3 linked regions of the Lonchura striata genome follow. The protein of the gene in region 3 purifies or fractionates together with the protein of the main gene of each other region. This does not show direct contact. Links are inferred from orthologs where the notes say so. Each region holds a gene or a part of one and is shown on either strand. Other genes may lie near its edges.

Region 1 (10,539 bases), on a different chromosome or scaffold from region 3:
GTTTCACATTAAACATTCCATCCTATTAGAAATTCTTCCACTCTTTAAGTGATTTTTAAACTAGCTTTAGCCACTACTTTCTTTTTTATGCAGCTCAGATGATTAACGTGTAGTCTGAAACCAGAACCCAATCTAGTTTTAATCTGTCATTTTGAAGAATTTGGTCTTTGCAGCAGGTTTAGAGAAGTGATCCCAAAAAACACAATGTTCATGTTTCCTGCAGAGGTGTTTAAAAAACTGGTCAGCAGGCACCACACAACTGACTTTTACCTCATTTGCAAGCACAACACCTTTATGGTATGTCTACATCTACTAGGCACAAACCTTGGGTTTATTAGACTAGAAATTACATTAGCAAACCTACTTAGAGAACTGTAGCCAATAGCTAGAATAACTTCAAATATATCAGACTGTTCTCACACTAGCACTTAACCATAAAAACTTTACCTGTCTTTGTCCTATAACCCATATTTTTCAAATTAGCAATTTTCTTCACCACCTACAAAGCTTTACTGCTATGCCTATAAATACATAGCATGCCTATGTATGCCTCCCATGCCTATAAAAACAACTGACATATATCCTGTCATTTTAGTATATGAGAAGAACCAGGAGTTTAAAAAATGCTAGATACATGAACAATCCAGCATCAGAGAAACCAAACACAAACACTTCATAAACATGAAAAGCAAAACTAACCTTAGCTTCCTTTTCCCTTTTCCTCCCACTTGAGGGTCCTTCACCATTTTTAATTTTTTCACTCTTTTTCACAGTCTCACATTCTTGTCGCTTTCCAGAAGGTACAACACCAAAGAATTTCCGGATATCCTAGTAAAAGGGAAAAGAGATTTATAAGTTTTTAAATACAGACAGCTCTTCACACTACAAAATAGTAACGTACTGAAGTTACCTTCTCAGCAGCTCCATTACATTGACCGATTTTGGAATTTTGTTTACAGTTCAGCAAACAAAGCCCAAATAGTTAAAAGTAGCTACTCAGACACCCACACCACCTGATTCTAGTCTTTGAATCATGAAAAAAATTTATTTCTTCTTTAGCTGGGCATCTTCACCAATACATACCGCAAGACAAACTTCCAGCAGCAATGAAATAGTGACTTAAGACAGATGTGTAATTACAATTTTTTCTGATTAATTATCACAAACCTAAACCATACTATTTCTATAGTTAAAATAATTAACACAGCTAAGTAGTGTCCCATGTAAAAAGAAAGAAAAGGACCAGGAGCTTGACACACTGAAGTAATGGCACATACTGCATTCTTCACTTTCTCATAAGTTTTTAAGACAGTAACTCACACCTCACTAAAAAACTAGCCAGCAAGAAACTTAGAAAATTTAAATAAAGAAAAATAACACCTTGATCTATTTTGTTACTTTATTTTAGTATCTGACCACAATACAGCCATTAAAAGCTTTCTAAGCATATAAAATCAGCAGCTGGAGCTCAAACTTCAGACAACTTTATCAAACAAAATCACATCAGACTACTCTTATAAAAATCTAGCAATCCAGCTTTTCTAAAAGAAATTGAGGGAAGAGGTACCTGGTTGGTATCACTACCTCCAGGGTCAGCAGCCATTTTAGAGAAAGGCAGTACCTTCTTTCTTGCCTAAATCACAGACAGCAGGTAGAGGGTGGGGCTCAGGACTCCCCTGGACACAGCTGGGAGCTATTCCCTAACATGGAGTTCAGCTGGCACTTCCTTACTATTACAGGGAACCACAAGGAAAGTAGCACACTTAGGAAACTGGCATCAAGTCTGATTGATAATAAGGGGTCTTTGAGGCTCATTTTCTAACAATCAACTCCTGTCAGTTTGGACTTAGGGCTTAAAATCAATGAAACATGTACTTCGAAAGCATAAACAAAAGATGGGACATGCATTGATTCATTCAGTGCACTTAAAACAATTTTCTACATGTTTCCTGTAAATATTTAAGCTCTTAGTGTTTTAACTGCATGTATTAATATGGATTCAACAAATGGTAGATTGAAAATCATTCTTACTCAATGTGACTTCACACTTCTCCATCCATGGAATTCAAGCCTTGAAGCACAGATTTTCAATGCTCTACTATTTAACATATATTCCTACAAGATAAATGCAGCACTACATAAATCTGAAATTTTGACAGCCAGTATCTATAGCTAATAGGTCTGAAGAGAACATCTATTTAAAAAGTCTCCAAATCGATATTTGGACTTAATTACTCAATTATACTCATTATTACTGACTTCCTTTTAGGCTTAAGGTAACATAGGCAAGAGAAAAAGCAGATATCATTAGATCTTTTATGTAGCAAAATAATTTAAATACTTAATACAACACTGCAAAATAAAGTGACTTTAAAGTTCTCCTTTTTTTTAATAGTTGTTACTTTAAAGCTTAAAATATTTGAGAATTTAGTTTTAGAATAACAGTATGGCTCTATTCATTCTACTGTTTTCACTAAAAACTGTTAACTGAGGTGCTCTGCAAATCTACCTTGTTCTGCCAACCTCTGTGCTACCTGGAAATTATTGCATGAGGGAACATGAATACATCCCAAAATTACAGTCATCAAACTAGTACACCTTAAACGTGGTAGCAGGAAATATGTATTTCATTAGCTAGCCCAGCTTAAAACCATGTCTGCTTTAATGTATTTATAAAGCTTTTCAGTAGGCTTCCCCAAAGGCTTTTCTGCAAGATTTATTAATCACTGCTTTTCTACTAACTTGATCTTGAGTTTGGATTTCAGTTCTGGAATCAGCTGTAAAGTGTACATAATTCTGGCAGAAGCTTTGCAGAACCTTTTGGTGTTTTGAGAACAGGTAACAATATTAGAATTCTTTAAGATTTATACAAGGTTTATGAAATGAGAACTTAAAATACACAGCCCTAAGGTACAAAGATTGACTTCTATCCACAGCCTCTTCAATATTTTGCTATAAATTCACCAATCTTCTTCAGTTATCCTGCTCCTCAGAGGAAAAGTTTACCTTGATGACATAACACAGTGAACAGAGAATTGCTTGGGAGAAAAACATGTCTCAGGGCCAACAACAAAGTTACCTTTCAGTGAAGGTTTTATCCGGGAATCATTAAACAGATTTTTCATGCTTTTTATAAAGGCATGCCAGACAAATTATTAATTCATTGCATAACTAATTGCAGAAATCAAGCCACATAAGTATCTATCATAGCAACTTAGATTCCAGACAGGACCACTTTTCACCATCCTGGGCTTATCTATTTAACATACTCTGACTGACCTTCCTATTGGTATGCCATCCATACATATATAGTACCAGCAGCTGGAAAATCTGCATGTTTAGCTTTTACCTATCCTTGTTCCAATGAGGAAAGGCTGCAGCTGTCAAGTTTCCTTCCAGGACATACCCCCAAAACTCACAGCAATGTGCCCTGTGTATCCTGGAGATATTAACCAGCATGGCTGTTCCCTTGCCCAAAAGGCTAAAATTAAAATAGGCAATTTTTGGTGTTTTGGCTCCCCAGGGCTGCTTCAGCACAGCACCAGCAAGGAATAACTTTGAGCAGCTCCATCTGGTAGGAGCTGTAACTAAGAATTCTGATCACTCTCAGTCAGGTGATTGATGCCTAGCATCTGAAAAGCCTAAAAAGCTGCTCAGCTATCTCAGAGTTGTATGGCTCTGCCATCTAGTCCTTGCCTGCTCTGACTACTGCTTAAATCTTCCATCTCACACTGTAACAGAAGACCACAGTAATTAATCATGCCAGGCTGCAAGTTCTCTCTTGGAAGATTTGTATGTCTTTATTTTTTTACCGGGGAGAGTAACACAAACAGAAACTGAAACCAATTTGTTAGGTAGTACAAAGACTGGGAAACTCCAGGAGTGTTTTTACAAGACTAGTGTTTAGTAAGGCAGAATATTTTCCAAAGTTACATCACATAATCCAGTCTGCACCTCAAAATACAAGATAGAAAACTGAACTTCACCAACCTAACTCAATGACTGTAGTAGAAAGTAATGCATCGTACTTCAGGTATTCTGTGTGTCTCAATGAGGGCCTTGCACCACAACAGTCATATTTCTTTCTACTCTGCCTATTTCAGTGCAAGTTTTGCTCCCATATCAGCTCTGACATTCAGCACCTCCAGAACAATTGCACTAACTAAAATCAGATTTATACTATCACTTCAGTGAAACCAGTAATACCTGCTTGGGTAACTACACCTAATGAACAGTTACTGACAGTGGTAACTGCAGCAGTTTTACAAACAGTATCACAGTTGTAAGTGATGCTCCTCCTCCAGCCATGAGTGTCACTCTCTGAAGGGGAAACTCAAGAAACCCCCACTCTTGGGCATTCACTCCCTCGGGTGTACCACTTTAGCTCGCTGTTTGGGAACTGGGACATGGCCACTAATCTGGGTGAAAAAATAAATCCCTTCTAATGCAAATCAGTTTGTTGTGTAACTCTTCACACATCAGCTCAGCACAATGAGAATATGCTGCAGAATCAAGCTAACAGGGCTACTTACACTTGGCACTACAGGAGAAAAGTTTGCAAGGGTGTGACATTGACTGCAATAAGCTCATGGCTGTCACTGCACAAGCAGAACAGTCTGCACCATTAGTAACTCACTGTGTTTCTGCCTCTATTGCCGCCACAGCTGCAGCAGAGATGGTTGAGTAACCACTTCAGCACTGAAAAGGGAATGGGATGAGGCAACTTTTACCCTCCCCAAAATGATGGCTGTTTTCGTCCCTTCTAAGACAGGCCCAGACACTGAGATGTGTGACGTTCAGAAGATCACACAGAGGAAGAATTTGTCCTGGGAAGGTGGGAAAGGAGGAAGCAAGCCTTCCAAGAAGGTCACTTTTCTATAAAGGTGTTAGCAGAGGCATGGGAGAGGCAGATCTCTTACATAAATTTGAAGTCATCAGCCAGCTCAAAACAAATGAAAATATCACAGTTCAATAGTGTCAGGAGTCTTAGTGCTGGCAGACTTCTGTCAGTACACTAGAAGACTCAGACTGTATCACCCACCATTGCAGAGCACCAGGCATAAACTATAAACAAGCTTAAACTCTTTGGATAGTCCAAAACTAGAGTTGCGCCTTAACTGGCAAAATGACACCTGTAGTTAGGCCAGTAAAAGATGTGCACAGAATAAAAGCAAACTCATTTGGCCAGAAATGAAAAGGGGATACCATCCTATGGTCACTGCATACATGAGCGGAACTTTGGAAAGCATAGGAACACGTTTATGTTTATGCTTAAAATCTCTTTACATCCTATTGAGGGTTGCGTCGTTATCGATAAACTTTTAAGCTCTTTTTTTCCTCCCATCGAATTGTTTTTCGGCAAATACTGCGCACCCTCCAGCTCGTCATCAGAAACGCCTCGTGCATGTTCCCGCTGGGTTAAAGGAAGAAGTACCGCTCCGGCACAGCGCCTTCACCTCACCGCAGGTTCGCTCATCCGCATTCCTTCCCGGGACGAGCCGCGGCCCGCGCCCTACACCCCACCCGCTTTCGGGGAAAGCGAAACCGGGAGGGCTCAGCCACATCCCCCTCCGGGCACGGGCATTTCCCCGGCCGCGGGCCCGTGCTCCTGGCACGCGTGGGAAGCCCCGGCCGCAGCGGGCGGGGCGCGGCGGCCGCTCCGCCGCAGCCGCTCGGGCTGCGCGGGGGCTGCGCGCCCGGGGCCGCCCGCGGGGCTCGCTCAGCCCGCGCCGGGCCCCGACGGCGCCGCAGCCGCGCCCGGCCGGCGGGACCTGCGCGCCGCCCCCGCCCCGCACAGCCCCGGCCCGGCGGAGCCCCTCACCATGGCGGCGGCGGCGGCGCGCTCCCCGTGCCTAGCGGGACGCCGCCGGCTCCATGCTCCCGCCTTCGCGCCAACTCCCGCCGCCCGGCGCGCCGCGCTGCCGTCACGGCCGCGCCGGGCGGGGCTGCGGGCCGGCCGGGGCGTGCCCCGGGCCGGGCTCATGGCAGCGGCGCCCGCCCGGGAGCCGGCCCGCTCGGGTGCGGCCGCTCCGTGAGGGGTTTAACCGCTGCCGCGGGGCTCCGGCCCGTGCCGGCGGGAACGGCAGCGCTGCAGCAGCAGAGCGGGAGAGCCGCGAGCGCTCGGGCGCGTCCGGCAGAGCGGGCGAGCCGACAGCCGAGCTGCTGGGTGAAAGCAGACGGGGAAGCAGTGCCAGGCCGCCATGGCTCCCGTCTGTGTTGGGCACTGAGGCACACGCAGCTCCCAAAGCAGGCGGGCAGCCAGCCCCGGGTCCGCGCGGCTGGAAGGCATTTCCTGCTCGTAAACTGGTGATAAACGTGTGATAGTTCCCAGCTTCCTGCCCATCCGAGCGTCTGGTTCCTCTAATGGTACTTTCTCCCATGCGCCAAGGCTGGGGAGAGCTCAGGAGTCCGACAGAAACCAGGGAATTAATTAGCGTTGTGATTCTGCTACTGACTGCTTAATTTTCTAAGTTATTTCTAATGAAATAGTGTGTATTTTCTTCCACTAAGCACACTGAACGCTGGAAGGGGATAAATTTTTTCAAGCCAAATAAAAACTACTCCACTCTAAAATATTGTATATTGTTTAGATTCTGTCAACCTACTGAATCGCTAATTATTGTTGGACTTGGAGAAGAATGGGAAGACAAACTGAATTTGTGACGTTACAAATACTGCCGGTGATTTGGGAGACCCTTCATCGAAGAAAAAAATAAATCAACCAGAGTACAAGCTCAATGGGTAGTTGTATTTGTATGTATATAATTGCAGTATAAGTACTGCAATCCCTAATGCTGTCGCTTGTGTTCTCTCTGTGTTCACTGCCTGCTTGGTGGCATGGTCTCATTCCACACACTGTTAATGATACCTATTACCGTTCCTGTTAAATTCTTGAAATTGGACTTTAAGTAACTGTAAGGTCCTGTTTATACAGAAACTGCTACCTTTATTTTATGAACACACATGGCTAGGTGGGCCCGTGTATTTTCAGCAATAGTATATCTTGTGAATTTGGGTTTCTGCATAAGGAACACAGTGAGCAAGTAAACAGACCCACAGCACAGGCTGTGCTTTTTGGCCTGTTTTGCAAGTTACTCCATATGCACTCAACATAATGGCTACGCAAACAAAATCGATATTGCTTTAGAAAAACATCTCCAGTGATAAATTTGTATTTACATATTTAATTCTTGTTATGTAACTTTGAAAGCTGTGCTGTTCCTCATACTAGAAGTAAAGATCAGTTTAAATGGCTGATATTTGTAAGAGCCAAACAGTTCAAATACTGCTAGAGGAGATATTGCGGGTGGTTATCTCTCTTTGTAGTTGATAAAGCTACCTAGAGTAACAGCCAGCAGAGGAGTATCTGTTTGTGGGTTCATGATGTCTTCATGTTTCTCGGAAGGCAAGAGTTCAACCCTGTGTGGAGACATCAGACTGAACAGCTGGAATGCCTACAATTCACTCCTGGCTATGGTGGGGAGACACAGGATACCTCAGTTCCTATGTACATGCCTGTGGAACCAGTGGAAGTGGGAAAAACTTTGCTCCACCACAGGAAAGAAAACTGAATACTCATTATTATGTATTATGATGTGCTTTGCAAGGTAAAATCAAGGCAAAATCCCATGAGTCTATAATTGATCATGGGTAGTGTTTTTTAAAAGGCCTATTACCCAACTAAAATTACAACTTTTTAAAAAGTAGCTAAAGTACAATTGATTTCTCCACTCCATTGGCAAGTGTGACAAATAATTTTTGCATTATTAGTATTGTTTTCTACCTTGCTGAAACCCACAGACTATTTGTTTGTTTTATATTGTTGGTTTTTTCCAAAATACGTTTTAAAAAGTGAGATATTAAATCTTGAACTTGAGATTTTTCCCCTATATAAGCCCAGACCTACTGTTAATATTATTAGTGAAATCGTTGTCTTGCTTATTGAGAGAGGAGGTTTTTAATAAGAAAATTACATTTTCTTGTACTGAGAAATAAAAAATTGTCTGTTTTCTTTTTGTTAATATCTTGTTTATTCTATTTCCACATTTTTGTATATTGATACATTAATACTTTTTTGAATTGAAACCAATTTTTAAAGTGAAATTTCATGTTAAATTCTGGGTTTTTGTAGTAATAATGGACGTTAAAATACTAATTTACTAGATTGTCATTTCTATTCTGGAGGAATCCCATAAGGAATATTTTCTTACTAGACTCTCTAGTAAAGAAAATAATTTTTTTCAGGCATTGTAGAAGCAGAAATTAGCATTTTGTTACAGATGGAAAATTCCAAAAATTCTTCATAAAGCTGTGATGTAGTTTCTATTTACATTGGGCTTTCGATAGTATTCATCACAATTATGTGTCTTTAGAAAGACTTGATCCCATCTCAAACAGTTTTAGCTGTGTAAGGTAAAGATAAGGGATTTGCATGACGCTGTTGTGGGCGATTACATAAGTTGTGCTTCTTTGAGCACCTAAAACTAGTAGGTCTGAGCAGCTGATGTTAATGTAAACATTACACTTCTTCTGAGTGAACTTTGTCTTTAGGTCTTTTTCTTCATTTACATATCAGCGTCAACTGATACTCAGTCTAACATTCAAAACTCTGTCCTTTCAACTAAGGTGTTCATCATTTCTGTAGATCAAACCCCAAGTTTTCAAGGCAAGCCCCAAAACATGGAGACTACATATTCAAGAGCCAAGTGAAAAATTGTTTTCTTAATTTGAATCATATGCCTTGGCAAAGGCAAAGAAGAAAAGGAAATCTGATAAGTAAGAATTGAACTGAATAATCATTAGGCTTCCTAACTCCTGAATCTGTATCAGCAAGTGCCCTGCAGATTGCAGCTTCTCCCAATCTTGATTCATTCTGAAACCAAGTTGATTAGGTGTGTGGACAGAGGCAGGAAATCCCACTGTGCAGCATCATATTGTATGTCCTCATACAGCACCAGGGTTGGAGCCTGGCCTGACTCTGCCACTTGAGCCAGTGGAATCATTAATTCTCTTCTCCTCCTTTCACACCCTCACTTCCTAACACCCCCTGATCACATCTCACTCTTCCATGCTGATTGCTTTCCAAATTAAGAACAGTCAAATTAACATTTGCTTTAATAGTCAAATTAAATTTGCTTTTCCAGATTAACAGTATTTCTTTTCCCCAAGTCTTTGCTCAGGTAATGAACTCCTTCCAAATTCAAGTCATTATACGATTTTCGTCACTTAAGCTGCTTCCTCTTTAAAACTTCATGAAGTTATATTACAGCCCAAACAGTTAAATATGACCAAGCAGTAAGAAACTGGATTCACAGAGGCTTGAGGCATTAAAACACTTTCAAACCATGATTACAGCATGCTCCCAATCATGTCAGTAATAAGGAAAGAAATACAGTTCATAACCTTATACAGACCAAGCACCTGAGAGCACCAGTCTCTGCTGCACCTTACACATCTCAGGCAGGTGCAACACGCTCTGCATCCTTGTGCCAGTGGTACTAACGCTGCTGCGTTTAGTGGGGAGAAGCCTGTTGTCTTTCCCTTGCCCACAGATTGCCCATGGGGTTACAGAGCTGTTGTGGGTACTTGGAGCTCAAGCATCTGGTAACGATGGCAATGACTAGCTGCTTTAGAAGTGTAAGACATCGGTAACGACTTGTATTTGGGTTTTCTTTTGTGAAGTAGGATACATAAAATCAGAGCTTTTAAATGTCAAAATAGAAAGATTATGTTAATGCAATAACTATCAAACAGCATTTTAAATGCTGTTCCGTAGAAAAAGAAAGAAACATGTCAGTATGTACTGTAAACCAACTTTGTACAGTCCCTGTCTGCTCCTCTTGTTCCCACGCTGCCTGTGTGTGGTAGGATCTTGGCTGAGAAATGTAGATCTGTTATTTCTGGTAAGAGCAGAGGCTCATGTTAGATGCATGGCTACCCCACCACCTGGAGTGCAGATGTCAGTGGGAGCTTTGTCTTCATGTGTGGTGAAAATGTAAAGGCTCTGTAGAGAAATACTTACAAGCATGTATGTTTTCTTGTTTATCCAAAAAATAAATAAATTTGCTTCCATTGGTAGTAATTAATCAGCTTTACTGGTAAATTAAAGGTATATAGCAGTGGCATTCTGCAGTGCTGCGAGCATGCTCTCACAGGGAGCAGGAGCAGTAAAGCAGCAGTAACCCAGCAGTGCATCAGGATTTTCATGTCCTACATGGCAGCAGGGCTAATTCATCTGAGCAGAGTACTCTGCTCCACTGATTAATTGTCTCAATGTTCAGATTTCAGTGTGCATCTTTCTTACATGCAAAGTTACTTCATACTTCTATGGTGGTTCCTCAAGGCTCTTCTGCAGCTGTGGTCATGCAGTTTCTGTTTCTATATGGACATATTTTATATTACTGTACCTCAAGAAAAACAAAAATGGCAGGCATCAGTCTTACTGTGTTGAGTAAATTGACTATATCTCAACATACATACTGTTGCTAAACATGTTAAAAGATTAAATTATACTGCAAAATTGCTGTATAAATATTTGTT
Region 2 (10,539 bases), on a different chromosome or scaffold from region 3:
ACTAACATGAAAACTGGTTTTAAATACTCTAAGTAATTTCTATATGCTAGAATTCACTTGGGTTATTCTGTTTGTGCACAAGAAATATCCACAGCACTGAAAACACATAGAAATCCCAGGTTCAGACTTGACAGAAATAAACCTAAGAAGGTGAAGAGATTGTAACTCATTTTTTTCATAAAACACCAAGGAGAACACAATTTTTTTAATACAGTATTTAAATTTCCACTATTATACTCAGAGTATCTTATGGGAAAATCACACCTTTTTTTCCCCCTCTTCTTGCCTCCAATTCAAAGAGTGAAAAAAAAATTAAAAATCTTAGATGACAACATCAGTAGGAAGTTAACAAGTACTTACTGTACCATCTGAACCTAGCTACTGTAACTACAGAGAGAAGGATCTGTGGCCCACACAAGAACCAGTTACAAAAGAGAATTTAAACAAATATGCCTCTGTAGTCTGATCATTGAATGAAGTCAACATTACATTTATTTCTGGACTAATTTCCTCTGTCTATCTTGTAGCATAGATAAATAGGAAAAAAAAAAAAAAGAAGCCACGATAAAAGAATAATAAGACAAGCTGAACAAATTACTCCAAAATTCTCAGTGGTAGACATCCACAATGACAGCATTAGGTTTGGTGATTAGTAGGTTGTTCCCCTCCAAACAGTGAGACTTCAACATCAGTTTTGTAACTGCATACAAACATTTTGGTATGAAATGAGGTCCTCCTACTTGACAGTTTTGAAAAGTTAACAAGTTTACCACACGCACCAGTATTTTCATTCTCTGAAAGAGTAATGGTAGAAGTCATAGCCAGGAGGTTACTAGGACAGCTTTGAGCTACTTCCATACCTTCCTTACTGTTGGCTGGTGAGTGTGGCTGCTATGATGCAAACACTCTAGAGATTTAAGACTCTGGCAACCTGACCTTTGCTTTTAGAGCTTGATGGGCTGCAGCCCCAGCTCAAATACATGACTTACGTTACCATTCATCAGAAGGAATACAGACAGTGCAGCCATAATGCCCTCTATCAAATTCTGCGGCAAAGGGATCCAGTGCTGGTAGATTTTATATTCCTTTTGCATCACTGGCTGCAGTTTGAAAGGGTGTTGCAACAAGAACACAGTTGGTGCCAAAGGTATCCATACTCGTTACCATATCAGGTACTAAGAATATGCCACCAGGAGCCCTGGCAGAACTTTTCACATAAACGGTTGCACAAACTCCTGCAAAGGAAGGTACTTATCTAAGACATAAATGTCATAGAACCCAAAGGAAATAACAGAAGTAACTGTCCTTACTCAGAAAGAGCAAGCAAACATTCTCTGAAACACACAATCTTGATTAGTATTCAGGGATAAACACATCAGAGTCCTACAACAGTGGCAGCAAATTGAAATTTCTATTTACCACTGTATACTGTACTATATGCAAACTAGGATGTAACTATAACATTGCTAAAATAGTCTCACATTCACATTCAATTGACCACCTAAAGAGTTGCAGAAAAACACTGATACAGAGAGATAGCCATCGAGGAATTTTGCTTAATTAAACTGTAGTTCTCACAGACAAAAAAGATGACACCAATTCTTCAACAAGGAGCAGGGGCTTAACCAACAATATCCCCTGTGGGTGTGTAATGATCCCCACGCACAGCCAGCCAAGACAATTTCCCTTATCCTACCTCAAAAGCAGTGCCCTCCCCAGAGCAGGTAAGATCAGCACAGCAGGACATGCTCTTTCCATGCTGTGTGGTGGAATCAGGCTGCAGCACTCGCCCTCCTCACCCAGCGAGAATGAGGCCAAAAACAAGGTTACCATCCCCTAGTCCTGAGCAGCCTCAAAGAAAAAGGGCAGTCAAAAAGCAGGTTGCATAAATTGTGATACCCAACCACAGCCTAATCTCAGCCAGTGCTGAGGTGTGTGCAGGTACTCCACACTGCATATTCAATATTCCCAGGAGAGCAATGTGTACAGGGAACCCAGCTTTCCAGGAAACTGGCCACATCATGGTCCCTCCCCACTACATGCAGTCTTTCCATGGTGCTGTCCAAAAACGGTGGGCTCCACTTTCCTGTACAAAGCTCTGTGTAACTTCTAGACAAACTACTTGCAGCCATTTAAGCAATAAATTCCAGTCAGAGCTAGTGAACTAAATTCTATTTAATGAAAGCCAAGGAAAGCACAAGAGAGTCCAAACTCTGGGGAATGATAGGCGCTAAGCTTTCAGGACAAGAGACCTGAATCCCACTCTGAAGAAATATGTCTAAGAAAAGATCAGGTTTTACTGAAAATATTATATAGCTTTTTAATATTATTTCAGAATATGCCGCTTCTACCCCCCCCGCCCCCCCCCAATAATCTGCAAGGTCACAGTTCACCTTTGAGCTTCTTTCTTTTCTCAAATTCTCCTTACATTCCATTGTTAAGGCAGATTAGAAAAGCTGCACTTCAAGTTAGATCTCATCCTGCATAACAGCTATCTGACAGTGCAACACTCAAAACTTCCACCTCCACTGGAGTAATGCCACTGACATCTGATTTTAAATTTAAGTTCTCATTTAAAAGTCTTCTGGTCTTACAGACACGTACACTGTACACAGTATGTATACAATGCAGATCACGCAGCACAATACACACTATCCTGCTGCAATATCCTATATTGCATATATATCTCATAGACAGGAAAACAGTACATAACAGTATCGTCCTTTGTGCTGAAGGCCTACTCTAAGGACTTGTGCAGAACACGTTCTTAAAGTGAGATCTGAACTCAAAATTCCATAGAAGAATAATAACCAATAATAACCTAATGACAATTTTTCCTCTTCTGCACGATACCAAAGAATTGAATTGATCTGTCCTCAGATGTGACGCACTCAAGTCCACTCATTTGTGCACATGCAGATATAAAACAAAATCTGCTCACTGGCACTGTCAAGAGCTGAAGTAAGTACCTATATATATCCTCTCTGCTTTCCTCCTATCAGCTACCAAGTCAAGTAATTGTTTTCTTTCCAGTATGCATGAAGAGAAACAATTCTACATGCAGCTCTCTGATGGTGATGGCACTCTACCCCAATCAGAGGAAAAGCTTAGCTAACGGCTTCAACAACAAAGCTTGATGCTCCATTAAAGACCAGACCTAAAGTTCACCAGAATTTCAGGATTAATGGTACATTCCCCTTAGCACTTCCAACTGCCTGAGCTGTGAAAAATAAAACAAAGCTGAAGGCTCTTCCTATAACTGCCATATGTAGCAGGAAAATCAAAGGCTAAATATTACATTAAACATTTAATTCTATTGCTATTCCAGGCATATGTATTTGTTCTCAATAACTAGAAAAAATAAACTGATAGAAGACAAAAGACACACCCAAAAAAAGTACAGTAATTTTACCTTTGCTGAGATAAATTTACTTCTCTGAAGAGCAATGTCTTCTACACGGGATCTAACAGATGACACAAAACAGAAAAGAACCCAACCAAAGAACCACAATGCAACAGCACTCCATGACAATCTTAAACATAACAACATCGACTTGAACACAATTACCATTAGTCAGTCAAAAGTGTCAGGAAGAATGACAAGTTTTTGAAGAGCTTCTTTTGAAAACAGATACAGAATTTTTCACACTGCAGCCAAATTGGATTAAATTAATTCATGCTACAGACTACATGTGTGATTTGCACCTTTTATATGGCATATTGGAAGAAAATAAGATTTTGTGTTAATAATGAAGTGAAACCATTCAGAGTTGTCACAGGCAGGGATTCATTGTATGTTTTTTTCACAGCAACAGGTAACTTACTGTACTGCCTCAAGAGGATTATAACTTCACAACTGATCTTATTTGCTTCCAGTATCATAGAATCAGAAAAGGTCTTTTGGTATCACTAAAGGAGGGGAGGGGACAGGAGGAGCATGAGCAAGGATTTTAGCAGTGATGTAAATCTTCACCTCTGTTCCCTTAGACTTTGCCCTTTCAAATTGCAAGCTGACTACAACATACAAAAAAGGGGGGAGAATATGCTCAGAATTACCCTGAGGAAAGCTTTTTTGTATACTGTATCAAAGACATTTTGAAAATGCCTTCTGGACATCAGAAAGAAAGAACACCATCTCTTATTCTAACAATAGAGTTAAACTAAACATCATCCTTCCCTACCAATGACTGGAGTACAGCAACTTGCAGATCCAAGGATCTGCCAATTAAGGTATGGCTTCTCATAGAGAGCTCCCTGGAAGCATGAAGCTACCAAAACTTGATTAGTGGAGGATAAATACAGAAAACCTTCCAATGAAGTGACAGGCTAGCCTGCACTCAGGTAACTGCGCTGCAGTAACACGCTGACAGGCTTAACCGCAACACACACTCATTCTTCCAGTTCAGTTCACAACTGAAATTAAACCAACACTCTTTACAGGGTGACAACAGCAAGTGACAACTCAGCCACAGCAAACAGAGCAAATAGTCATAGAATTTTATAACCCATATTCAAGAGGGGATTCTATCCAGTTCTGCAAGGCAGTTTATGTATTTCTAGAGCCTCATAGCCTTGAAAAACCTATATAGGATGGAGAAAACAAATTCACCATCTCATTTTTTTTTAATGTAAGAAACCACCTCACCTAACCATTTTGGGAAAATTTCTACTTGATCAACCTACAACACATAAACATTAAGATATTTTTTGAAACTACTGAACAACTTACAAACTTAAGAACAAGAAGCTAGCCTGTCAAAGGTATTTTATTGCTTTATAGATATTCAGTGAATCTAATATTGCGTGGAAACTTTTGGCCTTCTAGAGAAAAAAACTATTCAGGCAAACCCGCATTATCTCCGGATTGCCACAGCCTTTCCTTATTTGGCTAACGTTTTGAGATTCCAATCAGACTGCTATGAAGTTCAACATGCACAAAGCATCCATTTTGAGGAAACTTCACAGCCAGTTTCCCGTGCATTCCCCCCCTGACCCAAGTGAAAGTTACCTCCCTTGGTACCAACACCCCTCCCACATACCCACACCAGAACAAAGCGATATGGATAGGGTTTTTTAATGCTCTCCAACGCACGAAAAAAAAATTTAAGATCCCTGTTCCGCTTGAAGTTCAGCTTTCACACTGCGGCGGGAGCCATCGTAACGAAAACAACCCCTTACTGATACGCGTTTCTATATAATGAACAAAACACTGGCTTCCCCTAGAAACCGGAGAAAAATAGATGATCTGTCTCTCAACAGGGCCGCCCGCACACACGAGCGGGCTTTAATCGGCTCAACTACTGCGGAACCGGGGAGACGAGGGAAGCAGGGAGCTACTACCCGGATTCCAGGCAAGGGGCAGCGGCAGAAGCGCCCCCCGAGGGCGGCCCGCTTCTTCTCACCTGCAGCCACCCTCCCTCGCCGGGGGGCATCTACCTCCGGCCCCCTCAGCCCATGCTGGGCCGGGCCCGCACCCCCAGCCCTCCAAGGGAAGCGCTGCCAAAAGGGGAAAACGAAAGAAGGTGAGCGGCACCTCCTTCCCGCCGGAGGAGAGGCCCATCCGCCCATTCCGACGCCCAGCTCGCGGGGAGGGGGTGCAGCCTCCCGCCCCTGCGGCCCCGCCGGCCCGGGGCTCGGCCCGCGGCCCCGGCCGGTCCCAGGCTGACCCTGCCGCCACCTCCCCGCCCCGACACCCCCCAGCGGAGGGAGCGCAGCCGCCTCCGGCCCCTTCCTCCTCCACCTCCTCCTCCGGAGCGGAGGAAGGGGGGGGGGAGGGGGGGCAGCCGGCCGGCCTCGCCCCCTCCGCCCCAGTCCGGCTGGGGTCCCTCCTCGGCCCAGCACCGACCTGGTGGAGAGCGGTGAGCCCGTCCACATTGGCGTAGTTGATGTCGGCGCCCCGCTCCAGCAGTCGCAGCACCTCCTCGGTGTCTCCGCTGGAGCAGGCGGCCAAGAAGACGGCGCCGTCGTCAAACTTCACCTTGGTCTTCTTGCGCTTGACCACGGGCGGCTCCAGGTCGGTCTCGGAGCCGATCCAGCGCTTCAGCTGCTCGTTCCGCTTCTGCTTGGCGTCCGCCATCTTCATGCCCCGCTCGCGCCGGCCCCCTCAGCCACGGCCGCGCCGAGCGTACACTTTATACCGCCACTATCCCACAGCGCACCGCGGCCGCGCGCGCTCACCCGCCCAGGGAGGGCGCGGGGCGGGCGGGGAGCGGAGAGGCGGGGCGGCGGCGGCCTCGTTAGCATAATCCCGCGAGATCGCGGGGGGGCAGTGCGGCGGGAGGCCGCGCGCGAGCGGGGCGGGGCCGCGCGGGCCGAGTGGGCAGAGGGCAGAGGGGAGTGGGAGTGGGCGTGGGCAGAGGGCAGTGGGGAGTGGGCAGAGGGGAGTGGGCAGAGGGCAGTGGGGAGTGGGCAGAGGGCAGAGAGCAGTGGGCAGAGGGCAGAGGGCAGTGGGGAGTGGGCAGAGAGCAGTGGGGAGTGAGCAGAGGGCAGTGGGGAGTGGGCAGAGAGCAGTGGGGAGTGGGCAGGGAGCAGTGGGGAGTGGGCAGAGGGCAGTGGGGAGTGGGCAGAGAGCAGTGGGGAGTGGGCAGAGAGCAGTGGGGAGTGGGCAGAGAGCAGTGGGGAGTGAGCAGAGGGCAGAGGGGAGTGGGAGTGGGCAGAGGGCAGTGGGCAGAGGGGCGTGGAGTGGGCAGAGAGCAGTGGGGAGTAAGTCCAGCCCCGCCTCCGTCGGGCCCTTTCTAAAGGTGCTGCCCATTCCCGACGGTGACTTCTGTCACCTGCGGCAACAGGTGGGTGTTTCTGCCTGCGTTGGCAAACGAGGCATATGGAACCACTTGACTGGAAAAGAGAAAATAAATGGAGCAACATGGTTGAGGGTCATTTGTTTTGGGAGGTTAGATAGGACTACCTCAGCACAGTTTGATCTACAAAAGCACCCCCTTTGCCTCTACACTTCAGGGGGCCTCTAGGGAAGCTGAGGAGAGACTCCTTTTCAGGAACTGTAATGATAGAACCAGGAGTAATGGGCACAAATTACGCTAGATGTTTTTGTAAAAAATTCTTCATTGTGAGTGCGGTGAGACACTGGAACAGGTTGCCCAGAGAGGTTGTGGATGCCCCAGCCTGGCAGTGATTAAAGCCACTTTGGATAAGGCCTTGACCAGCCTGGTGTAGAGGGAGGTGCTGCTGCCCATGGCAGGGGATTTGGATTAGTTGATTTTCAAAATCCATTTCAACCCCATCACATTCTGTGATTCTATCATTCTGCATGGCAGTGGACAAAGCCCTGTGATTGTTGTCCTTTTCACTTACAGTTCACTTCCATGATGTCAAAACTGGGGAGTAGCACAGTCATCCTTTCTCTTGGGAGAAAACAAGTAGTTAACAAACCACACAGGATTTGAAGATACAAAGACTAAAATGTTTTTCTTCAGATTTGCAACTTCTAGGAACCAAGCTATAACAGATAATAAAGTTTTTTTTTCTATGCACAGCATGCTTTCTTTAGCTAAGCAATATGTATTTGGCTTTAAATGGAATAATCTCTGGGATAAAATGTGGTTTTGAACTTACTGGAAAATAAGTTTTATTTTCAACTAATTACAGGAAACCAAGTATAGTTTGAGAGAGTCACCAAACCTCATACACTTCAAATTTTGCATAATTTGTGCTTTTCTAATTACAATGTCTCCTTCTTACGGTGGGCAATTGTGCAGCTGACTAGGACTCTTATTTCCATTTATATTGATAAAGATGTCCGTGACATTTCACAAGAAGTAGTAGTTGCAAGATACCTGCAGCAATGTGCTGTTCTTAATGTCTTTCAGAAGAGATTTTCATCTGGAGATATTTGCATAATATCCATCAGACTTACTTATACAGCAGTGCATGAGCTACATGCACTGACAGTTTGCAGGCGTAATGTGATTGAGAACAAAAGACAACATCTGGTAGTCAAGAAGAAAGATTTGCCAGAAAAAGATTTGCAGTCTAAGTAGGTGGATGAAAGATTACCTGGCACCTAATTTATACCTTCCCTTTGGCAGCCTGTGTCTATCCAGGGGTACATTTTAGGTTCCTGGATTTGAAAATATGGCTGACTGCAAAGCACAATTCAAGACCAGTCTTTGCAGTGTTTATTACTCACACGAGTGATTTGGCTGTGCTTTGGCATAGCACTGGTACCACCCAGCATGGCATGGACAGTTACCAGCTGGGAGCTTGGCTGCAGCACCTGACTCATGTCTAAGGAGGGAATTTGTGCAGGTTCCAGCCTCCTGCTGTAGTCTTGTCCTTGTGGGCAAACTCTCCCAGGGCAGACTCAACACAGTGCCATTTCCTAAGGACTTGAAAACTATACCCTGGAAAAAGGCAATGCAAGACAAAAGCTTCTTTCCCCTGCCCCAGATGTCTCAGATATTTTACAAGTCACCTCCCCATCATGCTTCTCTCTCAGTTGGCTGTCTGAAAATTTGACTCTTCAAGAAACCTCATATCTGAAGAATGTTTGATTTCAGCAAACAATATTTAAATATAGTGCTTTATTAGCAAGAAAGTAATTCTAGGCAAATAGATAGGCATATGTTCAACATGCACTTTCTCAGGAATTTCAATGTCACGGAGCAAGTTTCTAAGTTTTCATTAGAGTTCCAGTCCCCTCTGCTTGATTTCAATTTTCCAGTTCAGCTTTTTCTTTCTGGTCAGGGATCCTCTTTTAACTCCAACTTGCTCTTCTTGTCTCGTTAGTGAAATGCAGAAGTTCTACAGCTCAATTTTATTCTTAAATAAAATATTTTTTTATTCTTAAAACCCAGATTTCATATTTTCCTTTTATTCTTCTTTCCAGGAAAGTTTTTTCACTGATTCAGCTCCAGCTTTTCAGAGAACTTCAGCAAATATTTTTCCATTCACTGCAGCTATTTGTATGCTCCAAATTCTTGACATTATTTTCCTTGACTTTTTAATTTTTTTGGATTGCACATCATGGTAGGGAGTTATGTTTGAGGGGTTTTGCAGACACTACAGGCAAGATATAATTCATTTGTACAGTCAGCTGAAACTCAGATATTCCATATATATTGAGTATGAATGTCCTTTGGAGATAGCTATGTGCTCTGCTGGAAATTATATGTAGTTCTTAAATCTAGCAAAGCATATGGTCTTCCTTAAGCAAAAAGTAGAGTTGTAATTTCTGTAAACTAGTTAATCTCTGCAAGTGTTCACACTTCAAGAAGGGAATAATAATACTAATAATAATATTTTTAATTTCTAATTTTTTCCTACCTCATATCTCTAATAAATGTTTGCAATTTAAATAGCAAAGGCATATTGGGTCATATTCTTTACCCCATCACAGTGCCATTCTACCCCATGTCTAATGTCATCCCATGTCATTGGAAAATCAGTGTAGCTGAGAGATGAGACGGTCTAGAGCTTCTAATTCCATACAAATTGAGCTAAACATATATAAATACCAATAATAATTTTGGTACAAATATGAAATTATTTTCCCATTATTTGCCTAAGCCTGGAGTGTTAAATTCATTTGTGTAAAGGGTTAGAGCAAACATATATTAAAGCTGTTTTTGAAGACCATGTTAAAAGTGAGTATCAAATTAGTTCTAAAAGAGTCACTACTGCAAGAGAGTATCACAAGAGTGAATTAGATAACTGCATAAGTATGCATGTTTACAATAATCATAGTTGCTAATAAGAGGCACTTAACCATTTGAGCTACATTATGAGTGCAACTTAAGGATGTGTCCTACGTTAGATCTAGTTTTATCAGGCTTTTTCGGTGTATTGCTACCAGACTACCCAACACACTAGGTGTGCTGTTAAATCCTTTGTTTGCATGTATATACACAATCCCAAAGGTGATTAAGTATGTAATTTTCCACATACAAATACTAGCACTGAATTCAGTACAGCTGTTTTTCTGTAGAGGTGATGATGTAAACATTTCACAGAGATAGCATCTATGTGTATACATGTTTCCAGTAAATTTAATGACAGGCTTCAAGTGATCAATACAATGATTTAGCAATGAGATTGCTATCAGTGTGTTTTCTGGTTTTCCATCCTTTCTTAAAAGCACTACAACCATTGTTCAAAGCTATTTCGCACAGGCTTCTAGACAACAAATGTTCACAGATTAAGCTTTTGACTACCCAAGATCATCATCTTTTGGGATGTAGAATTTTGTTCTGACCTCCAAGTGGATAATTGCTGCCGTGTCTCTCATTTTGTACAGCATTACACACAGTGTGGCTTCTAAAAATTTTGCCTTAAGATTTTCTCCCCTGATTGAAGGAAAACTAATAGATCAAAGTTAATGTCATCAATTCCAGCTCTGGGAAAAAAAAAGGGTAATTTGAAGGATAGTGACAAATATTGAATATATATATTGACAAAAAACTTTCTAATAAATTAAATAGATTGTTATAAAGAATCTTGGATGGTAAAATGAGAGAAAGGATAACAAAATATAAAAGTATCTTTTCACATGAAAACACCATGACAGAGATACTTATCATAAGAAAA
Region 3 (10,539 bases):
TAAGACACAGAACATTACCATGAAGGAATTCCAGTCAGATCTCTTTCCTCAAGCAACTGCTTTCTACTTAGAAAGAACTTAGGGCTGATGGTGATTTAAAAGGACAGCCCTGAAGTAATCTTGACAACTTTTCAGTGTTTATCAGCTGCTATTGCTCTGACAGGTAGTTTCTGCTCCTACCTAACAGCTATGATAAAAAAAAAAAAACTGTAGAGAATTCTGTCTCATCACTCAGAAAGCGCCAAAAATCCACTGGGTAAAGTCAAATCTGTAGTTAACCCAAGACAAAGAAAACATCTGCTGCATTTTATTTCTGAAATATGAAGATGTTTAATGTGGGGGTGATGGAGTCATCACTTCAGAATTCACCAGGGCCGCTCTTGGCACACAGCAGTAAATTGCTTAGGGAGCAAAGCGATGCCATAGTAAGAACAAGTGTCCATTTTTTTAGATTTCAGGACTTTCACTTGCTCTAAATGATAAATTACAAGGGAAAGAGCAGACAGGCATATCCAAAGTAAAAGTCCATTAAACGACTAATTTACCATTCAAAAATTTGAATTCCTTTACAATATAATTTGCCTCTAGATGAGCAAATATCCAACATTTTTGTCCTTTGGGAGACAACTAATCCTTAAGGTCTTGTTTTACAGGGAGACATAGGCCTGAGCAGGCAAAACCCCCGAGATGTGGGATGTGAGGAGGAAGATGGTCAAAGAAAGTGGAAAAGAAGGTTAGACCAAGTCTGTAGAGCACTACAAGGAACAAAAGCAGAGAATCCCAGGACAGAGTGATGGCACCAAACTACGGGAAAAGAGCAGAAGCAACACAAGGAGACCCCAGTGTGGTTCTGCCTGATGCGGTAAGAGTCTCCAGAAGTAACCCTCTGGTTATTTTTAATCCAAAATCCAGGTCCTTGCACAAAGCCCAATCTCTAACTTGCCGCAGTAGAGTCACATCGGTGAACTGGTGACAGTCTCCCTGGCAACAGCATGACGTCAAACAGCAAAATGTGTATTTACTGCAGGTTCCACTAGATGGAGGAGCCAGGTCTCCCCCTTGCTCCGTGGCCTCAGGTGCTCAGAGGGTCAGCACTCCACACCCAAATTCATTTTGTGCAAGGGAAGGTGGAAAAACAGGAAAAAAATATGTCTGGTCAGGCGAGGAATATTCAAGAAGAACAGAATGTGGGTATGAAGCAGCAAGAGGTTTCCTTATTACTTTTGTTCCAAATATGTTTCTTTCTGTAGGAATTTGTGGTTTCAAAAAAAAAAAACTCCACTGAAAACCAAACCAAAGACCACCACGTCCATTGGAACACGTGTGCGTTATGAAACACAAATTCACATTTTAATGGCTGCCTACCCACAGCCGAGTGTTTCTCAACAGAGTAAGAATAAATTCACACATCTGTGCATGTGTTCAAATACAGAAGTAGCAGAAATATCTCTCCAATTTTCTCGCTTGGAGAGCCTAGGGACTCCTAAACTGTGATTTTTGGTGGCTGGTGGCCTACAGATCACTTAAAGTGCTCAGAAAACCGAGGAGGCTGCCTGGCTTTTGCTGCTAGTTTTTATTAGCAGGAGGTGAAAAAAGCAGCTGAAATACCTGCTCACATTTCTTCTATATGTGGTAGATTAGGCAAACCCGTGACCTTTGCCTGCAGCTGCCTCACAGCCCACTCAAAGGCAATAACTGTGTAACAGGAACCCTCAGCTTCCAATAATTTGTCACCAAGAGGTTTTGCCACAGTGCCATGACACAAGACCTGCCCCCAAACTGAGCAGCAGGGAAGGGAGAGAAGGGAAAAAAAAAAAATGCACTTTGAAACAACACACCTCTAAATCACAGCAGTGGGAAGGGCAAGAGTAAGGAGTTCAAGTGAATGTGTAAGTACATAAACATTTCAACATGGAAAGATTAATGACAGAAGTTGAACATAAGTAGCAAGTCATTGTCATAGTGAAAAGGAAGTCCAGCATCAGAGTAATTTGAATAAGATTAACGACAGTAATAACACAACCATCCAGTCTTCAACAAGAACTAAACTGCTCAGTCTTAATTTTCAATACTATTATGAGAGGCTGCCTGAAAAGTTTTTATGATTTGTAATAAGAAGATTGTGTCTCCAGCTTCCTTGTTAGGCAGATTAACCACCTACTGCTCCCATGTAAAGTGGCCAAAAGCCAGCTTCTCACCCTCCTGGGTCCCACTGTGCTATTACAGTCTGAGAAAGAATATTCCTTAATCCTAGGTCTGGCAGTCTGAGATCTGTATTTCAAGGAAAACCAAAAGTAGGGCTAAAAGATACATTTTTAAAATACCAGAACTTTTTTTTTTTTTAACAGAAACACAAAGTACATTTAAGATGTTCATTTTGCCTTAGCTGAGTGTCCCTCAAAAATACCAATTTATTAATATATACAGGAACTTAGAGAATATCCAGCTTGAAATACACACCTCTGCCATTTCATCAAGGCCTTCATGATAAATCTTGCAGTTTGCAGAGCTGGCTGAGTTAAGCTTACCTAATCTAAATTATTACCATCTTCTGTATCAGAAACCTTATTTAGTATCAAATAAAAGGGTATGAAGTTGTCAGAATAAGATCAGTGTTCAAACGAAATACACATTACATCTTTTTTGGCATCTTTTTACCCACACATATTATGACCACAGACCTGTAACATCTCCAAAAGAGTTTAGATTTGAAACCTTCACTGCAGAGTATTTTTGTAAGTCCAAATGAAGAACACAACTTTGATCAAAGTAATGGTAATTTTACCAGAATTTATAGTTAAAGGTATATTTTCAGCTCAGTTCTGTCAGATACCACGTTCTCAGTGGTTTCTAAGCAACAATATAACTGAAAAACACTATAGTTCACAAGCTCTTGTATCACATAAGCAGGGAAATGGGAGAAAGGCACAAAACAGTCTGCTCAGTAGCTATTCTGAAAGTCTTGGTCTCTACAGCAACTGTGGGATTAAACCATAAAATCTGAGATGTCAACACATTTTTTAAACAGCAATTAGCTAAGTAACTATCAAAGGAACAAAGGATTCTTTAGGCTCATTTAACATACGCCCCTCTTAATTCCCTTGGAAAAAGTTAATGAAGAAAGATATCTTTGCCTTTGCAACAGAATAGATTTTTAACCAGAAGAGCAATGTACCTACCACCACTTTTTGTCCAAACTATTCTACAGAAAACTCTTGACACTAATGTGTTGTCCCTTAGCAATAAAAATATATTAGTCCACTTCTCTCAGGATTAAAAAAAAAAATCTTCAGGAAGAGCTGTTTGCTATTAAATTCCAGCCATTATCTGTGTATACATCACTGACAGAGCTGTTAAAATATTTCCTTTTAAGGGCTTCTTATTCTCCCTCCTTTTTAAAAGATCAGAATTGGAAGAGAGCAGGCTTTTGAACATTCTCAGAGGGAAAAATGTTTTAATTTAAAAAACCATTTGCATGAGAACTGCAAGCTCAGCACACAAAAGGGAAGAACACAGTTATTTATGCAACATAACAGATCCAAAGAGATTAATGGCAGGTCAGATTAAGGTCCACCCAGTGCCTCAATCCTTTTTCAGCTAGGCATGGTAGGAATGGGTGCTTGGGGAATTCTGTGCTCTCCTTGTTTTCATACCAGTCTCTTGTCTATGTACTTGGAACAATCTAAGTTTTAGTGCTTCCTGCACCTAACATTCATGCAGAGGATGTATTGTTATGTTTAACAGCCTTTAATGGATTTCTCTTTCACATCTAATTGCTTTTTGAATCTGTGCCAATTTTTGGCACCTACCTCCACAAGTTCCATAATTTAACTGTGCAGTTTAGGGGTGTGGTGCAGCCTTTGTTTTACAACCACTGCCTGACAACACAAGAGCTGAAGAGCATCAAATGAACATAGAAAAAAGAGAGAGAGAGATTCATCATTCTTTATTCATCCCCTCCATGGCATCTTAGACTTTTACAGATCATTATTCCATCTTCCTCCTCCTGTTTCTTTCCAGACAGGAGAAATTAGAATCTATTTGATTCCTCATTATGAGGAGACATAAAATCGCTTCCGCTTACTTACTGGAACTCGAGGTAGAGACCACTCACTACAATAAAAACCTGTCAAGGTTATAAGGTATGGATGCTCCAAACACCATGGAGAGACTCAAGCTTCAGCCATGATGCAGAGTTTATTAAAATAGCAACAAACCCCAGTTTGTATGACACAAACAAAAAGGATTTTGAAGATCTGGAGCATAAAAAAAAATCCCTGAATGTGTCTGACTGCTTTTTTCAGGTGAAAGAGAGAAGCTGAAAGGCTCTGAGGTGACAGAAAAGTGTTTACTTGCAGCTACTCACCCTCATTGTATGGCTGGGGATTGCCAATAGGCCCACCAACCTGATCAGCAGTTTGCAGGACAGTTACATCCATCAGGATCACCACTCTCCTACAACAGAACAGACAACAAACAAAGACTGTCACTCCCTCTGCAGCTCCCATCTCAGGATATCCTTTGCAGCAGCTGAGAAAACCAAGCATTAAGAGGCTGATTCTTTGGATTATGGATCTGGGAGACAAAAGCTTTCCACTGTCAACTAAGCCCTCTCTTGAGGGACAAGTAAACTTGAAACAATATCAAGGATACTTGATATCACTGCATCAAGGGCAGGCCTGAACAGGCACCAAAAATAGCTTGGGAAACCACTGTGTTTTAAAAATAGCTAAACCATACCAGGTTTTTATTCCCTGCTTCAAAAGTTGCTGTCTTCTCTTCAGAATAAAAAGAATACAAACCTTAGTTCATCTCCTGATAGACATACACACAGTTTTTCTGTAATAGTTTCACCTGGATCCCTTCCCACTTTGCAGTACCCATCCCCTCAAATTTTCCTCCTATCCTATTTCCTCAAATTTTAATAAAAGACCAGATCCCACAACACCTAAGTAACAAGATACCTTTATTGTTTCTTTTCAACAGCAGAAAATTTTAAGGAAGCTTTGTACAAGTATTTGGAGTATTCCAGCTGGAGGTGGAGTATTGCAACTGGAAATTTTTTATTACTATATCACTGTACCAGATACATCTGATCTCACTAGTCACATTCTGCAATTTCCTTCTGCTGTGGACTGTCCCTCTCACACCCTAAAACATGAGTATTGTCAGATAATCCCAACCAAAAGCACTTGGCCTCTGCTTAGTCACAAAGCACACACTCATGCAGCTGCCTTTCTGTAGGGCTGAACTTAAAGATTAACACAAATACCTTCCATCTTTCAGGCTGTTGACAATGAATCTGTTAACCTGGCAAATGCACCGGGCTGACAAGCGTTCCTCTTCCACCAGGGAGTTCAGCTGTGTTGCCAACATGAATGCTGCAGGAGCAGAAGGAAAGTATTGAAATAATTCACAATGACAGCTTTAAAAGGGACTGCCACACTTTTTTCAGCCAGTCAAGTATTGCACTGGATCTACAGCTTGACAAAGAAAACAGTGCAACTGCTAAGAAGTCACCAAAACTGACCATGAAGTGTGCTGTATTCATTCCCCACACTTCAGAGTGCAGTGATAGCTAGAACGCTTGTATATCAAAGAACTAAGAGGAAAGTTAAGCTAAATTACTTTTAAATTAATGTTATATGTATAGGTTTCTGTATTTTCATTACATCCTGCAGCAAATTGATTGTTCATATTTCACAATGTTCCAAAAGCCAGACATTTCACCTAAAGGACAAAACGTAGTTACACACTTCAGAGTCTGTGGGCCAGTGAAAAAAACACATTCTCCTTCAATGTTTATTTCAGCACTTTGCATCCAAGTCACCAGAGTAGGAACTTCATCACCCGTAGCATGTCCACACTTAGAAAAACCTCACAGCAGCTTGTCATACTCACAGGAGAGAGTATTCACCCCATCACTCATCAGCACTCGGTAACGTGGGGGCCCAGTTCCTGTGGCAATAGCCCGTGTATTCTGCAGGGAAAAAAAAAAAACAAAAACCAAAAAAACAGGCTGTCAGTTCACATTTCTTCAGAAACTTTTCAAAACCAGAAAGCGACATTAACAAGTGACTTATCTACTCGGCTTTTCTGAGCACTAATATCAACTTCATAGCCCAAGCAATGTAAAACAAAATTAAGAGAATTAAAAGTAGAGCAGCCTTGCTCGGCTTCTTTGCAGAGGAAAGTCTGGCTGCACTCAGGACTCCAAGAGCAGCCACCGAGGGAAGGGACAGTACTCACGATGACTTGAAGCACGGGCTTGAAGACTTCCTCCCCTTGCATTATGGCCTGCAGAAATGAAAGAGACGCTCAGGAAAGCGCCACAGGAACATCTGAGACCCCGCGCCCGACCTACAGCCAAGGGTTTGAGGAGGAACTGCCGTGGAGAAGCCAGGGACGCGGGTGCGGCCGCCACCGCCGGACCAGGAAACCCCCGCGGGACCAGGCCCCGCTCCGGGCCTGCTTCTCCCCTCAGGACCGGGCAGGGCGCGGTGCCCAGGCCCGGCTTTCACCTCGCACCGTGCCCAGGCGCAGGTGCACCCCAGCCCACGCCGGGCCGCTCACCGCGATGGCCCCTTCGCTCAGCCGCACGCTCATGGTGCCGCTGCCGCCAAATCCTCCCGCCGCCGCCGCCGCCAAATCCTCCCGCCGCCGCCGCCGCCACCGCCTCCTTCCGGCGCCTCCTTCCGGCGCCGCCTCCGCCGCGCCGTGCGCCACCCGCCAGAACGCGCTTCTATTGGCTGCCCGGCGCCGTATGGCGGAAGTACCGCTGTGAGCCGTGTGGGGATGCCGCTGGGCGCCGCCATGGCGGCGGTGGCGCTGCCGCCTGTGGCGCAGTGGCAGTGATGGCAGTGACGGCAGTGATGGCAGTGACGGCAGTGGTGGCAGTGGTGGCGATGCCGCTGCCGGTGGCGCGGTGGCTGTGGTGGCAGTGATGGCGCTGCCGGTGGCGGAGTGGCGCGGCCGCACCGCCCGGCTCTGGGCCGCGCTGGACTCGGCGCTGAGGGAGCGGCTGGCGGCGGCTTCGCTTCACGACGCGGTGCGGTTGGGTTGCGATCTGCTCCGGTGAGCCGCGGGTCCGGGGATGGGCAGCGAGGGGAGCGGGGAATGGAGCATCTCGTAATGCGTATAAATAATAAAGGGGGGTGTCGAAGGATGGAGGAGGCTCCGCTCGCTGCAATGGCAGGAAATTCCATCTGGATAAAATTCCACCTTTCTACCTGGCAGCAGGTTGGAGGTCGGCCTTGTCTCCCGGGTTGCTGGCGATAGGACAAGAAGATAAAGGGTTAAATTCACCTGAGAGGTTTAGGTTGGACACGAGTAGGAATTTTTTCGCAGGGAGAGTGGTTAGACGCTGGAATGGGCTGCCCAGGGAGGTGAAGTCGCTGTCCCTGGAGGTGTTTAAGGAAAGATGGGACATGGAATTCAGTGCTGACAAACCTGGCATCGTCACCGCCTGAGAGGTCTTTTCCAACCTAATCGTGTGATTCTGAGGATACGAGGAAGAGCTTCTTCCCTGTGCAGTGACCCCGCCGTGGCACAGACGGAGTGTGGAGTCTCCCTCGCTGGAGATACTCCAGAACCCTCTGGACACAGTGCCACAAGGATCATCCTGCTTGAGCAGGGAGGCTGGACCAGAAACTCCAAACTGATCCTTCCGTGCTGCCCCCGTGTCCCACAGGACCAAGGAGGAGGAGGAGGCAGCCCTGGTGCAGCTGTGCCACCGGGCAGCCACGGACAAGAAGCCAGAGGCTGCGAGCCGGTACCGGGAGCAGGGCAACCAGGAATTCAAGCAGGGCCACTACCAGGCTGCCCTGAGGCTCTACTCCAAGGTAGGTGTGGCAGAGGGGGTCCTACCCACAACACCTTCACATCCCTGAGGGGATCCCCAAGAGAGGCTCCTGCAGCCCCTCATGGTTGAAGGGTGAGGGGCAAGGAGCAGCTCCGGTGAGGGGATCCCCAAAAAGGGGATCCTGCATGCCCTGCTGAGAGGGTCCTGTGAGGGATCCCCCGAGGCAGCAGCAGTTCTCTGGTCTCTGCAGGCAGCATCCCACGAGCTCCCCGGGAGCCCCGAGTTGTCCGTGTGCTTTGCCAACCGCTCGGCCGCCCTCCTCCACCTGGGACACTTTGAGGTAAGTGGGGCCAGGGCAGCACCCACCCTGCAATGTCCTGGATGCCCCTGAAGGATTGGATTATTAGAACAAGAAACAGTAGATCAGATGTGCTTCCCATGCTGTGCTTCCCATGCTGTGCTTAAAGCATCCATAGCTCAACTTCCCTACTTCAGGATGCTTTATTTGGGCAGCAGGTTGGTTATGCACGTGGAACTTGCTGATTAGCACACAGAATTCTTCCATGAGACTTAGGTGGAATGAAAGAGCACAAGCTGGTTTTCAAGCCCACTGAAAAGGCCTTATCTTTGTTCCTAGGTTTGTTTGGAAGATATTGCCAGGGCTGAAAGCCATGGCTATCCAGACAGGCTGCTGCCCAAGGTCCTGCTGCGGAAAGCTGAGTGTCTGCTGCGCCTGGGGAGGTTACAGGATGCACAGGAGAGCCTCAGAGTGCTGGAGAGTAAATTTGCTCTGGATGGTGTCATGACTACAAACCTGGCACGGCTAAAAAAGTTAAGTCAGCTGAAGGTTAAATTAGGTGAGAAAGAGAGGTGTCCAGAGCCTGCACAAGAAGCACATGGTGGCATTCAAGGGGAGCCAGAAATCTGGGAAGAGAACAACAGGATTTCAGGTGCATCTTCATCCCTGAGCTTGGGTTTTGATGCAGAGAGAGGACGTCACTTGCTGGCCTCCCAGGACATCGTGCCAGGACAGAGCCTGGTGAAAGAGGAGGCCTTTGTGAGCGTGCTGTGCCCTGGGGAGAGCCTTCCTCTGCAGGATGGTGACACAGCGTGGGACACTCGAGCCACCAACGCGGATCTTTACTGCCACCGCTGCCTGAGGCAGCTCCTGGCCTCGGTGCCTTGCCAGGGCTGCAGTTATGCCAAGTACTGCAGCCAGGACTGTGCAGACGTGGCATGGCAGCAGTACCACAGGACAGAGTGTTCCCTGGGAGCGCTGCTCCTCACGCTGGGAGTCTTCTGCCACGTGGCCTTGAGGACTGTCCTGCTGGCAGGATTTGCAGAGGTTAGCAGGCTGGTGGCATGGTCCCACCATGGGGACAAGAGCCTGCAGTGCCCTGAGGCAAGCTGCAAGCCTCTCGGTGAGGCAGCAGATGCAGGAGCTGGTAGCAGAGGTGTCCCTGGTTGTGACAGCAGTGGTCAGTACCAGAGCTCTTACCAAGCTCTGTTCCACCTTTTACCCCACACTGAGCAGCACAGCCCTGAGCACAAGTTCCTCTGCTTGCTCAGTGTGGTAGCTATATGCAAACAGCTGCAAGCAGCTGGCCTGGAGGCTGCTGTGCTGTGTCAGGAATCGCCTCAGCAGTGGTCCAAACTAAAGGCATGTGAGAACACCTCAGGTGAATTGTCCCCAGAGCTGAAGACTGTGGCAGAAGCAATGCTGAGGCACGTGTTGCAGCTGCAGTGTAATGCACAAGCAATCACTGTAATGCAGGAGTTGGGTAAGATAAAAAAAATTGAAGCCCTACTGTGTTGTCACAGAATGGTTGGGGTTGGAAGGAGCCTCTGAAGATGATTCAGTCCAAATCCCCTGCCCAGGCAGGGTCACCTGGAGCAGGTGACACAGGAGTGGGTCCAGGTGGGTTTGGAATGTCTCCAGACCTCCCTGGGCAGCCTGTTCCAGTGCTCTGCCACCCTCAGTGGAAAGATGTTTTTCCTCATGTTGAGGTGGAGCTTCTTGTTTAATCTGTGGCTGGTTCTCCTCATCCTGGCACCACAGAAAAGAGTCCATCACTATTCTCTGACACCTGTATTTGTTTATGTATTGATGAGAACCCTTCTCAGTCTTCTCCAGACTAGCCAAGCCCAGCTCCCTCAGTCTCTCCTCATAAGAGAGATGCTCCAGACCCCTCATCATCTCTGTGGCCTCCACTGGACCCTCTCAGTAGCTCCTCTTTCCTGTCCTGAGGAGCCCAGGACTCCTTGCCCATCTTGTCCTCTCCTTGCCCATGTTCTTGTGTGAAGAGATTAAATTCTCAGCTGTAAAAAGCTCCCATTGCAGATGGAAATGATTTGTTTACAATTTAATGGCCTGTCCCATGCTGGCCTGTTCCTTGGTGCACATGCAAGACGTGTTTAGCTATTATTTATTGCAGCAATATACGAGGAACCTTTCTGCTGCTGCCTGCGATCGGTCACGGGGCTCATTGCAGAAATTGTGTGGGTTTGGGAGTATTCAATCTCAACCTGCTTGGTTTTCCTCTGTCTTCAGGGCCTGGAGATGGGGATGTTGTAGATAAGAAGCCTGTGAGGCTGGCAACAGCCTTCTTCCCTGTCCTCAGCCTCCTGAACCACTCGTGCTGCCCCAATACCAGCGTGTCATTCAGTGGGACAGCTGCCACTGTCAGGGCATCACAGCCAATCTCAAGTGGCCAAGAGGTTTTGCATTGCTATGGTAA

Evidence for each region.
Region 1: the proteins of RPA1 (region 3) and RFC1 purify together in Homo sapiens (affinity purification with mass spectrometry; 3 studies listed by BioGRID, with this or other methods). This does not show direct contact. The link is inferred for Lonchura striata from reciprocal best matches to the Homo sapiens genes RPA1 and RFC1.
Region 2: the proteins of RPA1 (region 3) and PPP1R12A fractionate together in Homo sapiens (co-fractionation; 3 studies listed by BioGRID, with this or other methods). This does not show direct contact. The link is inferred for Lonchura striata from reciprocal best matches to the Homo sapiens genes RPA1 and PPP1R12A.

Annotation. Positions count from the first base shown.
Region 1 is NC_134606.1:22,847,598-22,858,136, forward strand, and holds the start of RFC1 (replication factor C subunit 1), read right to left. Parts: upstream 5,984-10,539; coding exon 5,822-5,983; intron 5,507-5,821; exon of another isoform or gene 5,407-5,506; coding exon of another isoform or gene 5,374-5,406; intron 829-5,373; coding exon 700-828; intron 1-699. UniProt on the Homo sapiens protein: Subunit of the replication factor C (RFC) complex which acts during elongation of primed DNA templates by DNA polymerases delta and epsilon, and is necessary for ATP-dependent loading of proliferating cell nuclear antigen (PCNA) onto primed DNA.
Region 2 is NC_134607.1:48,668,300-48,678,838, forward strand, and holds the start of PPP1R12A (protein phosphatase 1 regulatory subunit 12A), read right to left. Parts: upstream 6,195-10,539; 5' UTR 6,083-6,194; coding exon 5,846-6,082; intron 5,554-5,845; exon of another isoform or gene 5,534-5,553; intron 1-5,533. UniProt on the Homo sapiens protein: Key regulator of protein phosphatase 1C (PPP1C). Mediates binding to myosin. As part of the PPP1C complex, involved in dephosphorylation of PLK1. Capable of inhibiting HIF1AN-dependent suppression of HIF1A activity.
Region 3 is NC_134622.1:6,994,671-7,005,209, reverse strand, and holds the start of RPA1 (replication protein A 70 kDa DNA-binding subunit), read right to left. Parts: upstream 6,685-10,539; 5' UTR 6,607-6,684; coding exon 6,574-6,606; intron 6,298-6,573; coding exon 6,250-6,297; intron 5,981-6,249; coding exon 5,902-5,980; intron 5,382-5,901; coding exon 5,273-5,381; intron 4,456-5,272; coding exon 4,367-4,455; intron 1-4,366. Other genes in the region: protein-lysine N-methyltransferase SMYD4, read left to right, coding at 6,944-7,074, 7,691-7,841, 8,052-8,141, 8,439-9,582, 10,353-10,535. UniProt on the Homo sapiens protein: As part of the heterotrimeric replication protein A complex (RPA/RP-A), binds and stabilizes single-stranded DNA intermediates that form during DNA replication or upon DNA stress.